Macaca mulatta: one gene and its partners. The protein of the gene in region 3 interacts with the protein of the main gene of each other region in a pairwise test. Links are inferred from orthologs where the notes say so. Each region holds a gene or a part of one and is shown on either strand. Other genes may lie near its edges.

Region 1 (4,370 bases), on a different chromosome or scaffold from region 3:
AGGGCGCAATGGCCCAGGCCTGTAATCTTAGCACTGTGGGAGGCCGAGGCAGGAGGATCACCTGAGGTCAGGAGTTCAAGACAAGCCTGGGTAACATGGTGAGACCCTATCGCTACTAAAAAAAAAAAAAAAAAAAAAAAATTAGCCAGGAGTGGTGGTGTACCCCTGTAGTCCCAGCTATTCGGGAGGCTGAGGCATGAGAATCACTTGAACCCTGGAGGCGGAGGTTGCAGTGAGTTGAGATGGTGCCACTGCACTCTAGCCTGGGCAACAGAGTGAGACTCTGTCTTTAAAAAAAAAAACAAAGAAAGAACATCTCTTCCTCCTTTGGTTCACTGTGTATATTCTCAAAGAGCAGAGAAAAGGCAAAGATTAGAGCTATGAAGTCTTTGGAAGCTTGCATAAGAAATCCTTAATTTCTACCAGAGACATTTTTTTCCTGAGAAGTTTTGTGTTGTAAACTTTTGAAATCATGGTTAAGATATCTAAGGAGAGTTCATTTGCTTTTCAACCTTTATTCCTTCAAAGTAATTTTTAAACTTTGATGGGCAGATTTTATGAATAATTAACTTTGAGAGCAAAAAAATACAATTCCTCCACAGAGACAAACGATATGGCACAGCCAGCCCAAACCTAAGAGCAAGACACACTCCTGCTTCACAAGTCATGCCATTTTCACATCAGAAGGAAAGATTCTGAACTTTCCGACTTCTCGGAGCTTCTCAGAGTTGAAAGAAATTTTAAGCCATTTAATTCACTCCTTTCCAACCTCTGCCTGAACGTCTGAAGTAATGGGAAGCTCACTATCACACAAACAGGTTTTTTTTACTATTATGGAAAAGTGTCTATTTTCACTGACTTGGCCTTAAAGTAATAAGAATATAGTAGGTATAGGCAATAGTGTTTATTTTTCCCCTAGAAATTATAAACAAAATGCTTATCGCCCTGTTTGCTTCAATAGCTGAGGACAGAGATGAGTAACAGCAAACCTAAAGGTCCTATGATAGAGGAAATTAGAAACTGATCTTAATGATTAATATAATGAAATTAAACTTTATAAGAAGTGGAAACTGGTGGAAATGGATAATAACTCAGGATTCAAGGGCCCCTGTGTCAACATCTCTTGTCGATGAATTTTAGTGAGTTTTTCAAGCTTTCATGTAGTAAATAAGCATTTTCTTTTGTCTGTCTAACAATCAGGAAAACACTAAGTTGAGAAGAATATAACTTCCTTTGTTTTAGCTCTGAAGAGGTCTTAAAGGAAGGAATTCAATTAAAAATGTTTACTATCTGAGTATCGACTCTGCCTTAAATACAAAATAATCAAATGTGAAGGTATTGTAAGAAATCCAAGTTATACATAATAATTTTTAAATCTAAAACAAAATGATTACATTGATAATGAAGGCAAATTTTGTATAGTATGTGATTTAATTTTTCTCAAAATGTTTTGATGGATTTCATTAGTTTCCTACCAGCTTCTCTAGTCTAAATTATCAGTTATTCCAAGGCCTGGAGAGAGTATAGTAGCTACCAGCTGTCACAAGTTAAATACTTCTCTTCATTAATTTCCTTTTGTGCTCCCAAATCCATATCCTCTTCTATGATCCTGTTTTCCACACTATTCCTAGAAGCCCTGCTAAGTAAAAAAAGGATCACTCACCTCCATGAAGCTTCAGCCTACCAAGGGGCAGAGGCAGGCACTTGAATCAGAGCTCAGCAGGCCCAGGATGTCTGCAGACCAGAAGTCAGGGACCTGTTAGTTTTCAAGGAATGGGCTCAGAGCATGACAAAAGGAAGAAAAGTTCAGGAGCTGGAGAGAAGCAGCAAGGCCAGAGTGAGGTCTGGCAGATTCCGTGACAGTTTGTCAGTTGCTTTGATCATCATTTGCTTAAGAGAAAGAGAAACCCTCATTACAATACCCTACCTGCCCAACTTTTCTTTTGTAGGAGAAGAGGGCAGCTCATTTAGATTCAAACTGGTAGTCTAATCTTAAGGTTCATAGCTCCCCATTTCTGGACTAGGGATGCTCTATGAAAGAGGAAATACACGTCAGCAGCAGCCTATATTAAGCCTAACTCATGAAAATAACCACCTCACCCCTGTTCGTGATCCCATCACACCATCAAGACACTCGCTGAGTGGCTTTAATAGAGAGCTAGTTCACCTCTCATATTCCAGTGAAGCAGCCCTGACTTTGTCTCTGAGACAGTAACACAGGCCTGGAAAACACCAGGCCCTAAGAAAGCAGGATGAGCTTTCTTTCATACAGCTTTCTTCAGCAGTTTTCGCCCACAGAGAGATGTCCCAGCACTATGCTCCTGCGTGACTTATAAAGAGCCACCATAGAGCCAAACAGTTTTTCTTACAGTAATTCCTCTAACTCAATATGATTTCTTACACGTCTGGCTCCTGCCTAGCAGTCCAGCCTTAATGACCACAGCTCTTTCCCGGATGTTTGGGATTGCCACTCTTCTGCAGCTTTGTACATGTTATCCCTTCGGCTGGGAGTTTCCCTTCCCCTACACCCCCGTCTTTATCTCTTTACTAAACTCTTCCCTAACCACTCCCTCATCCCCAAACCAAGCTTTACCCACTTCCCTGTCTCTTCTAGAAGATATTTTGCTGGCTCTATACCAGAGGTTAGCAACCTCAGCCCTATTGATATTTTGGGCCTGTTAAGTCTTTTAAGTCAGAGGGGCTGTCCTGTGAATTTTAGGATATTTAGCCGTATCCCTGGCGTTTACACACTAGTTGCCTGTAGCCACCCCCTTCCTCTCCAGTCATAACAAAAATGTCTCCAGACATTGCCAAATGTCTCCTGGGGTCAGGGTTGGAATCATTCCTCAGTTGAGAAACACAGCTTTCCTTCCTTCCTTCCTTCTTTCCTTCCTTCCTTCCTTCCTTTTTCTCTTTCTTCCTTTCTTTTTTTCTTTCTCTTTCTCTCCCATTCTCTTTTTTCTTTCTCTCTTCCTTTCTTTCTTCCTTTTTTCTTTCTTTTTCTCTTTCCTTTCTTTGTTTTTTCTTTTTTCTTTCTCTCTTCCTATCTTTCTTCCTTTCTTTCTCTCTGTCTCCTCTTTCTCTCTCTCTCTTTCTCTCTCTTTCTCCCCTTCTTTCTTTCTGACAGGGTCTCACTATGTTGCCCAGGCTTATCTCAAATTCCTGAGCTCAAACTGTCTTCCCACCTCAGCCTCCCAAAGTGCTAGGATTACAGGTGTGAGCAACACCATGCCTGGCCTAGCTTTACACATTTCTATAGCACTCTAGATCTTTGTACATGTGGCTTTAACAGAGTGTATTCTAATATTTGATTGCATGTCTGCCCCTCCACTAAGTTGTGAACAACCGCAGGGTAGGTAGTACTCTGTCTTGCTCACCTTGACAGTACATGGCATTTGTTGGATCAAAACCTTTGTCAAATAAATGTCTATGAAATGCTGGTGATCACTTAATCAAAAAAGTAATTTTGTTTCATCTTGATTATTTTTGCTGTTGGCTAAAACATTTGACAATGCTTAGTATAGCTGATTTTACTAAAGCTTGGCGCCTGCACATTCTTGAACCTTTTGCCTAGGGGTAAGAGTACTGGCCTAGAAGGTGGAAACCTTGTCCCTCACCAGAGCACTGGGTAGCCTTAGCTAAGACATTTAACTCCTATGGGTATCAGTTCCTCCTTCTTTAAAATGTGAATTCCTAAGACCTCTTCCATCTCTAGAAGCCTGTGATTCCAAATCCTATGTAGCAAGAGGTCTCAATCTTCACAAATAGTACTTCAAGTCCTTTTTTTCACTATTTAAAAACAGTGTCCAGGCATGATGGCTCACGCCTGTAATCTCAGCACTTTGGGAGGCCAAGGTGGGAGGATCACCTGAGCCCAGGAGTTCAAGACCAGTCTGGGCAAGATGGCAAGACCCTGTCCCTACAAAAAATTTAAAAATTAGCCAGTGTCTGTGGTCCCAGCTACTCAGGAGGCTGAAGTGGGAGGATCATTTGTGCCTAGGAGGTCAAGGCTGCAGTAAGCCATGATCACACCCCTGCACTCCAGCATGGTTAACAGAGTAAGACCTTGTCTCAAAAAATAAAAAAAATAAAAAAATTCTATTACTGTAAACGAGACCCAGAGTGATGGTTAATTTTATATGTCAACCCGACTAATATACCCACTATAAAAGTTGCTTAAGCAAGAATGACATTTATTTCTCTCTTAAGTAAAAGTTCAAACTTCTATCGTGGCTCTGGTTTGCAAAGTTGTCAGTCTCCCAAATTCCTTCTCTTTACTTTGTTAACTTAGAACTCACAACATCCAGAAATTTGGAGAGGAGACTTTATTTCTTATAAAGGGTTAAAGGCCTGCAAGGTGGCCATCCCAC
Region 2 (3,644 bases), on a different chromosome or scaffold from region 3:
CGCCTCGGCCCTGCAAAGTGCTGCTATTACAGGTGTAAGCCACTGCTCCAGGCTTGTTTTATCTTTTTTTTTTTTTTTTTTTTTTTTGAGACTCTGTCACCTAGGCTGGAGTGCAGTGGTATGATGTCGGTTCACTGCAGCCTTGACAGCTTGGGCTCAAATGATTCTCCCACCTCAGTTTTCCAAGTAGCTGGGATTACAGGCACACGCCACTGCGCCTGGCTAATTTTTAAATTTTATTTAGAGACGTGGGTCTTACTATATTGCCCAGGTTGGTCTTGAACTCTTGGGCTTAAGTGATCCACCTGCATCGGCCTCCCAAAGGGATTACAGGCGTGAGCCTCCGCATGTGGTCTCCCATGCTGTTTTTAATATTTAAGACTATTTGAGATGGGTATGGTAGCTCACATCTGTAATCCCAACACTGGGAAGCCAAGGTGGGAGGATAGCTTGAGGCTAGGAGTTTGAAACCAGCCTGGGCAACATAGTGAAATCTCTTTTGCTTAAAAGAAAAGAAAAAAGATGATTTGACAACCCTTTGTTACCTTGGATGAGGCAGGCAGCACAGGCTGACCAAAAGCATTTTCTTGGTGTTTGGCCAGAATTATAGCTGGTCATTGTGGTCTCAATGATTTTTGCTTGTTGATTAGAAGTGCTACTTAATAGGTATAAGTCTTTATATGCAAAATGTTACCTATTACATAATAAATGCTTTTTGTTTGGTAGACAAAGTCTTTTAAAACCTAGGTACATGGAGGAGTGTCAAGTGCCTGGAGCAGAGTAAGAGGTAAAGAAAATAGAAAATGGGCCAGAAAAGTGACCTTGTAAGCTTGGTTGGGTCACATGCTCTCATTGGGACTGTTTCCTTGTCTGTCCCAGTGTCCATCTTACCTTGCAGTGCCTTAGCAAGGATGAAATTAGATCCCCCAAAAGGAAGCATTGGCAAGACTTAAACTGCACACACGGAGAGGCAGAGGTGGGTGGTGGTGCCATCAGGGGCAGTGGTAGCTTTGTAACCTGCCTGCCTGAGCCACAGGCCCTCTAATGGAGGAGCACTGGAGGCAGCAGCTAGCCAAGTCAGTTGTTAGGATTGGCCAGAATTTTATAATTGTCCCAAACTGCTAGGGGAGACTGACACGAGCAGTAGCCTTTGAATCTGTTGAAGCTTTAGTATTTTCTCCCTGCCATTGGTCACCTTGGTCATTGGCAGCTGATCAGTGTGCAGTGAGCTTTTGCTCTCTCCTGGACTCACACCGTGCTGTTTCCCCACCCAGAGGTCCTTGGCCAGACAGAGGGAGAAGCGGAGTTGGGTACAGAGATGCTGGGTGACTTGGAAGAGGAAGGTCCTGGTGGTGCCCACCCAGGTGAGTGGCTCTGGAATATTCTGTTCCCTTCCATAGCCCTCTGCAGCCTAGAGTGAGCTTTCCCATGGCTGACCTGCCAGGTGCTGACTTGGTAAACTCATCTGGCTTTGCTTGTTCTGGACTCCTTTATGATTGTTGTTAGTTCAGCTGTTACATGTGCCTCAACTCCTACCATCCTATGGGGTCTTTAAGACTAACGGCCACATCAATCACTCTTCTTCATGCCCTACAGAATAGAGTACCATACTAGGCGGTAGTCAAAACCTGCCGGAGATTGAGTGTGGGCATGTCAGAGCTTCAGGAGGGAAGGCAGTGCAGGAAAAGCACTTGTCACTAGGTAATTTGGGAGGTTATGGAGGAAGAACAGAGCTGGACATGAATTTTTAAGCTGTAGGTTTAGTTTGTCTTTAATCCTTCAGATGTGTTATTTTAACACTCTTAATTTAGTATAGTTGTTACAGTGTATTCTGTCATTTTTCCCAGAGATTAAATATAAATTTGTAGACAAGCTTGGAGAACTATAGTTTACAGTATTTTATAAGAGTAATGCATTGATATTTCCAGTCAACATTGGAAAAACTATACATGAATAGTTTTATACAAGTCTTGGAACCTAGCCAGTGTCATCCTCCTCCATGTTGTCCTAATTCACTTATTTCTGGGGTGCTTCTGAAATTGACAGATGTTTGTTTGGTCCTGAAGAAACCAAAGGTACTAGAATGTGATCTTTTTTGTTGGTCTTCTTCCACTTTGCAGCAGGTGGGGTCATGATCAAACAGGAGCTACAGTATACACAGGAAGGCCCTGCGGATCTTCCTGGAGAGTTCTCATGCATTGCTGAAGAGCAGGCTTTCCTGAGCCCGGAGCAGACTGAGCTCTGGGGTGGTCAGGGCAGTTCTGTCCTCCTGGAAACAGGTCCCGGGGACTCGACTCTACAGGAGCCTGTTGGTAGTAGAGATCCTAGCAGCAGCAGAACTGTGGGCTGCCCGAAGCAGAAATCTCATAGGCAGGTACAGCTGGGCCAGGAATGTGGGCAGGGCCTGAAGCTGAAAAAGGACACTTCCCGCCCCTACGAATGTTCTGAGTGTGAGATCACCTTCCGCTATAAGCAGCAGCTGGCCACACATCTGAGCAGCCACTCGGGGTGGGAGTCTTGTACACCTGAGGAGCCAGAGGAGAGCCTTAGGCCCAGGCCACGGCTGAAACCGCAGACCAAAAAGGCCAAGCGACATCAGTGTGATGTGTGCCTGAGGAGCTTCAGCTGCAAGGTGAGCCTGGTGACCCATCAGCGTTGCCACCTGCAGGAGGGGCCCAGTGCCGGCCAACATGTCCAGGAGAGGTTCTCACCCAACAGCCTGGTTGCCCTGCCTGGCCACATCCCTTGGAGGAAAAGCCGGAGTTCCCTCATCTGTGGTTACTGTGGCAAGAGCTTCAGTCACCCATCTGACTTGGTGCGGCACCAGCGCATCCACACGGGTGAGCGGCCCTACAGCTGCACCGAGTGTGAGAAGAGCTTTGTCCAGAAGCAGCACCTCCTGCAGCACCAGAAGATCCACCAGCGGGAGCGGGGTGGGCTGGCCCTGGAGCCCGGAAGGCCCAATGGCCTGCTTTAAGGGTGCAGCCCCTCGCCCGTCTGGGGGGCGGAGGGGGGTGGCATTGGTTCCCCCAAAGAGACACTGCAGTCAGGGACTGAGTTCTTCCTGAGGGCAGTTGTTTCTGATTTGCCTTCCCTTGTCCCAGTACCAAGCCAAGCCCAAAGGCTGTCCTGAAAACCCCGTGGAAGAAGAGTCCAGGCCAGGTCTTTACCCTGCTGCCAAGTTTGCTGTTTCTTGGCACCTTCAGGTCTCTGGTTTTCTCATTCATGCCAGTGCTTGTGGGCTGGGGTCGGCGTTCTGACCCCACAGGGACTGGTGGCTGGTTCCAGGGCTCGTCCTGGCATTTCATGTCTTCCCACGGGGTTGAGTTGGGCCACAGGGGTGAGCAGCTGCCTAGAAGAGTTCTGGGAAGTGTAACCCTCCTTTTTTTCTTGTTTTGTAATCTCTTTGTTTAATAACAAGTAGAACAAATAATTTAAATGAACTGCTTAACCCTACTCTGAAGAACCTTTTTTGGAATTAGATTTTAGTTAATTTTTTAAAGAATACAGCCCAACGCTTTTTTTTTACATTTTAAGAGTTGTAGAAGTTGTTCCTCACTTGGGGACTGGACCTGCCCTCTAGGAGGGAATTGTTAATGGGGCTCTTTTAGCCCACTGACGCTTACTTAGGCCAGAGAGCAGGG
Region 3 (4,229 bases):
CATTGTACTGTATAGATATACCACACTTTATCCATTTGCCAGTTAATAGACGATTGGGTTGCATCCAGTTTTTGTCTATTATGAATAATGCCGCCGTGAACATGTGAACACATGGACATGTTTGCATTTCTCTACTTACAAGTGAAGATATATAGACACAATCTTTTTTTTTTTTTTTTTAAGGCTGTATAGCATTTCACAGCTGGTCTTCCTCTGCTTGGATGCACAGTATTTTATTTTATTTTACTTTTTTTGAGACGGAGTCTGTCTCTGTCGCCCAGGCTGGAGTGCAGTGGCTTGATCTCAGCTCACTGCAATGTCTGCCTCCTGGGTTCAAGCGATTCTCCTGCCTCAGCCTCCCGAGTAGCTGTGACTACAGGCGTGTGCCACCATGACGGCTAATTTTTTGTATTTTTAGTAGAGGTGGGGTTTCACCATGTTAGACAGGATGGTCTTGATCTGACCTCGTTGGCCCGTTGGATGCACAGTATTTTATTTAACATATTCCCTGCCGATAGACAAGTCGTTTCTACACGTGAATTTCTTTCTTCCTTTTTTTTTTTTTTTTTTTTTTTTTTGAGACTGAGTCTCATTCTGTTGCCCAGGCTGGAGTGCAGTGGCACGATCTCAGCTCACTGCAATCTCTGCTTCCCAGGTTCAAGAGATTCTCCTGCCTCAGCCTCCGGAGTAGCTGAGACTACAGGTGTGTGCCACCACGCCCGGCTAATTTTTGTTTGTTTGTTTTTAGTAAAGACGGGGTTTCACCATGTTGGCCAGGCTGGTCTCGAACCCCTGACCTCAAGTGATCCGCCCGCCTCCGCTTCCCAAAGTGCTGGATTACAGGCGTGAGCTACCGCGCCCAGCCTCACATGTGAATTTCTTTAAAAACACCACCAGCAAAACCCCACTATTCCCATTTTACTAAGAAAGGTGCTGAAGTCCAGAGAAGCAGAAAATGTTCTCATAATTTACGCTGAAAGCTGCGTCCTCAAGTTCCGGTTTCCCATCTCCCAGCTGCACTCCAACTGCTCGCGCAGTCCCCACAGTGTACCTGCCCGACCAGCCGGCCCCAGCAAGCCCCAGGAAGCGGTCCGCTGAACCTCGGGCTCTTGGGTTTTCCTATGCCCCCTGGAGGTATCTGCAAACCTCTCGGCATCGCTCCACCACACCTCCGACCAGCAGGTGGCACTGTTGCCATCTCCATAACATAGACTGGCCTTCCTTGTGGTGCTCATGTTTTCCTAAGTCCCCGGGCACTTCCGGCACTCGCGGAACTTTGATGCAGCTGGATGCGCAACGTGGGGACTCAGGCGCGCCGGGCGGCAGGAGTTGCTTCCGGCCGTGTAGGTGGTCTGAATTGGGAGGCTGCGGCTAAGGGAAGATGGAGACAATACTGGAGCAGCAGCGGCGCTATCATGAGGAGAAGGAACGGCTCATGGACGTCATGGCTAAAGAGATGCTCACTAAGAAGTCCACGGTGAGTGGGGTCTGAGCAGGGGCTGCGGCAGGGGCATGGGCCTCAATCCCGTGTTTGACCTCTGAGAGCTTGCTTTGGCCCTCAGCGCCTCCCCGCACTCCGCCTCCTGCCTCCTCCGGGGCTCCCTCTCCGAGCTCCGGTCTTGGTAACCTCCTCCCGGGGTCCAGAGCCCCAGAGGCCTTTCTTCCTCAGCTGCTAAAACCTGAGCGGATAAAACCTGAGCGGGTAAGCTCCGCCCTCGGGCGGCCTTTTCTATTCCAGAACGCAAGCTAACGGCGTTTGTGTCACCGTTTGCTTTTTCAGCTCCGGGACCAGATCAATTCTGATCACCGCACTCGGGCCATGCAAGATGTGAGTGCCCAGCTGTCTGTCACTCTGGGTTGGCGAGGGCGGGAAAAGAGAGGGGAAGTGAAGTGCGGGGTCTCAGTATGAGCACTGGCTAAAGGTAACCGGATTGGCCAGTCGCGAGCTCTCTGCCTGGACAGATGTCCACAGGCTGCCGGATGTAAGGGTGCTTCCTCAGTTCTCTGAATGGGGAACTCTTACGCATTCTTCGTTAATCGGAAAGGTGCCCCCCTTTTTTTTTTCTTTTGAGACGGAGTCTCGCTCTGTTGCCCAGGCGCGGTCTCGGCTCCCTGCAACCTCCGACTCCCGGGTTCAAGCGATTCTCCTGCCTCAGCTTCCGGAGTAGTTGGGATTACAGGCGCTCGCCACCAACTAATTTTTGTATTTTTAGTAGAGACGGAGTTTCAACATTTTGGTCAGACTGGTCTCGAACTTCTGACCTCGTGATCCACCTACCTCGGCCTCCCAAAGTGCTGGGATTACAGGCTTGAGCCACTGCGCCTGGCTTACACGTGTCCGTTCTTACAGCATCCTGTATCCCTTGGATGTGCAAACAATAGTTATGAGGAGTCCATGACTCAGGTGCACAGCTACAATCCTTGCCTTAAAAAAAAAAAAAAAAAATATATATATATATATATGTATGTATGTATACCGTATATTAGTGTTTTTCTCCCAGGATACTGCTTTAAAGCATTTTGGACTACTAAACTGCATTTGTCTGGTAGTAGTTCAATTTATTACTTAAAAGAAAAACAAGATGCTATTTAAATTTTTAAACAAGGTGATGAGTAAATGGAGGTTCATTTTACTACGTTCCTTACTCTTGGGTACGTTTGAAACCTGTTTAAAAAGGAATAAAAGACTTACTTGGACCTTCTGATTTTCAGGAGATGATCAGATTACAAGCCCTCAGCCCCAAAATACTCTGAAAACCAAGGATTTTATTTTTTTCCCCTTGGGTGATTATTTGGTGTCAAAATCTGACCTGCTCTCACTTGACAGGTTTACTGGCCTGAACCTGTGATAGGCTTTTTATGGTCTTTAATTTACCCCACTTAGTAAATAAGGTATAAGGTTTACTGCAGAACTGTGTGCTCCAGATTCCACTAGGGCTGTTACATAATATGTGATACCTTTTCTGAACTTAAAAATTCCAAATTCTGAAACAAATCTGGGCCCAAAAGTTTTGGAGGAGGGGACTATGTACCTGTACCATCCCGAATTAGTATATTTTGACTACAAAGGAAGCCTATGTAATGTTTATTTAGCCTGTCTACTCCTCAGTCAAGCTTTTTGAAATAGTGAATATCATCTTTATCTTTGAGGATGTTAGGTGGGAGCTAGTGTTTAGCCAAAGAGGGTGAGTCTGTTACAGGGAAAGTTAGGCATCGGTGGTATGTAAAAATAGGAGCCACCCCTTAAATGTTATCATTTAGGTAATCTTCCAATCGACCTGCTTAAAAAACTAACCAGGAATCAGGGCTGTTAAAGGGCTATTGAAAAACTAACCAGGAAACAGGGCTATTAAAGGTACTAGGAAGCACAGAACTGTTAAGACCATGTCCGTATCTCTTGAGATTGCCCTGGGCTTTGACTGGAGAGCCCTTGTTGTTTGCTTAGCTCTACATTTGTGCAAATTGCCTCATTCTGATGGTTTTGTATTTGCCTTTCAGAGGTATATGGAGGTCAGTGGGAACCTGAGGGATTTGTATGATGATAAGGATGGGTAAGTGACAGTCACAGCTAATCTAGGAGTTAGTGCTTCTGAGGAGCCATGGTTAGAGGACTGACTTTGTGCTCTATCTTTGAAATTTTCCTGAAATTGCAGATTACGAAAGGAGGAGCTCAATGCTATTTCAGGACCCAATGAGTTTGCTGAATTCTATAATAGACTCAAGCAAATAAAGGAATTCCACCGGAAGCACCCAAATGAGGTATGTCCTCCGAAAAGTATTTTCTCCAGACCTATCTTTAAAGCATATAAAGGAAAGGTATAAAGGAAACTGGACATGTGCTATTCAAATGCACTTCAAGAAAGAACTTGCCATTTAGGTGCAAGGACCATAGTTAGCTGACATCCTACAACTGCAGTGTTTTCAGCATCTCCCTCAGCTTTGAAGCCAAGGCTGGCCGGGTGCGGTGGCTCACACCTGTAATCCCAGCACTGTGGGAGGCTGAGGTCGGCGGATCACCTGAGGTCAGGAGTTCGAGACCAGCCTGACGAACATAGTGAAACCCCATCTCTACTAAAAATGCAAAAATTAGCCAGGCATGGTGGCATGCGCCTATAATCCCAGCTACTTGGGAGGCTGAGGCAAGAGAATCACTTGAACCCGGGAGGCGGAGGTTGCAGTGAGCCGAGATTGCGCCATTGCACACCATCCTGAGGGACAAGAGTGAGACT

What was found.
Region 1: the proteins of SF3A3 (region 3) and TRIM69 interact in binary tests that used the Homo sapiens proteins (3 or more experiments, as listed by UniProt). The two-hybrid records come from large-scale screens. The link is inferred for Macaca mulatta from reciprocal best matches to the Homo sapiens genes SF3A3 and TRIM69.
Region 2: the proteins of SF3A3 (region 3) and ZNF212 interact in binary tests that used the Homo sapiens proteins (3 or more experiments, as listed by UniProt). The two-hybrid records come from large-scale screens. The link is inferred for Macaca mulatta from reciprocal best matches to the Homo sapiens genes SF3A3 and ZNF212.

What each region holds. Positions count from the first base shown.
Region 1 is NC_133412.1:22,145,987-22,150,356, reverse strand, and holds the start of TRIM69 (E3 ubiquitin-protein ligase TRIM69), read right to left. Parts: upstream 2,912-4,370; 5' UTR 1,670-2,911; coding exon 1,664-1,669; intron 1-1,663.
Region 2 is NC_133408.1:189,074,085-189,077,728, forward strand, and holds part of ZNF212 (zinc finger protein 212), read left to right. Parts: intron 1-1,274; coding exon 1,275-1,364; intron 1,365-2,120; coding exon 2,121-2,977; 3' UTR 2,978-3,644.
Region 3 is NC_133406.1:202,804,560-202,808,788, forward strand, and holds the start of SF3A3 (splicing factor 3A subunit 3), read left to right. Parts: upstream 1-1,324; 5' UTR 1,325-1,381; coding exon 1,382-1,477; intron 1,478-1,780; coding exon 1,781-1,828; intron 1,829-3,498; coding exon 3,499-3,551; intron 3,552-3,653; coding exon 3,654-3,759; intron 3,760-4,229. UniProt on the Homo sapiens protein: Component of the 17S U2 SnRNP complex of the spliceosome, a large ribonucleoprotein complex that removes introns from transcribed pre-mRNAs.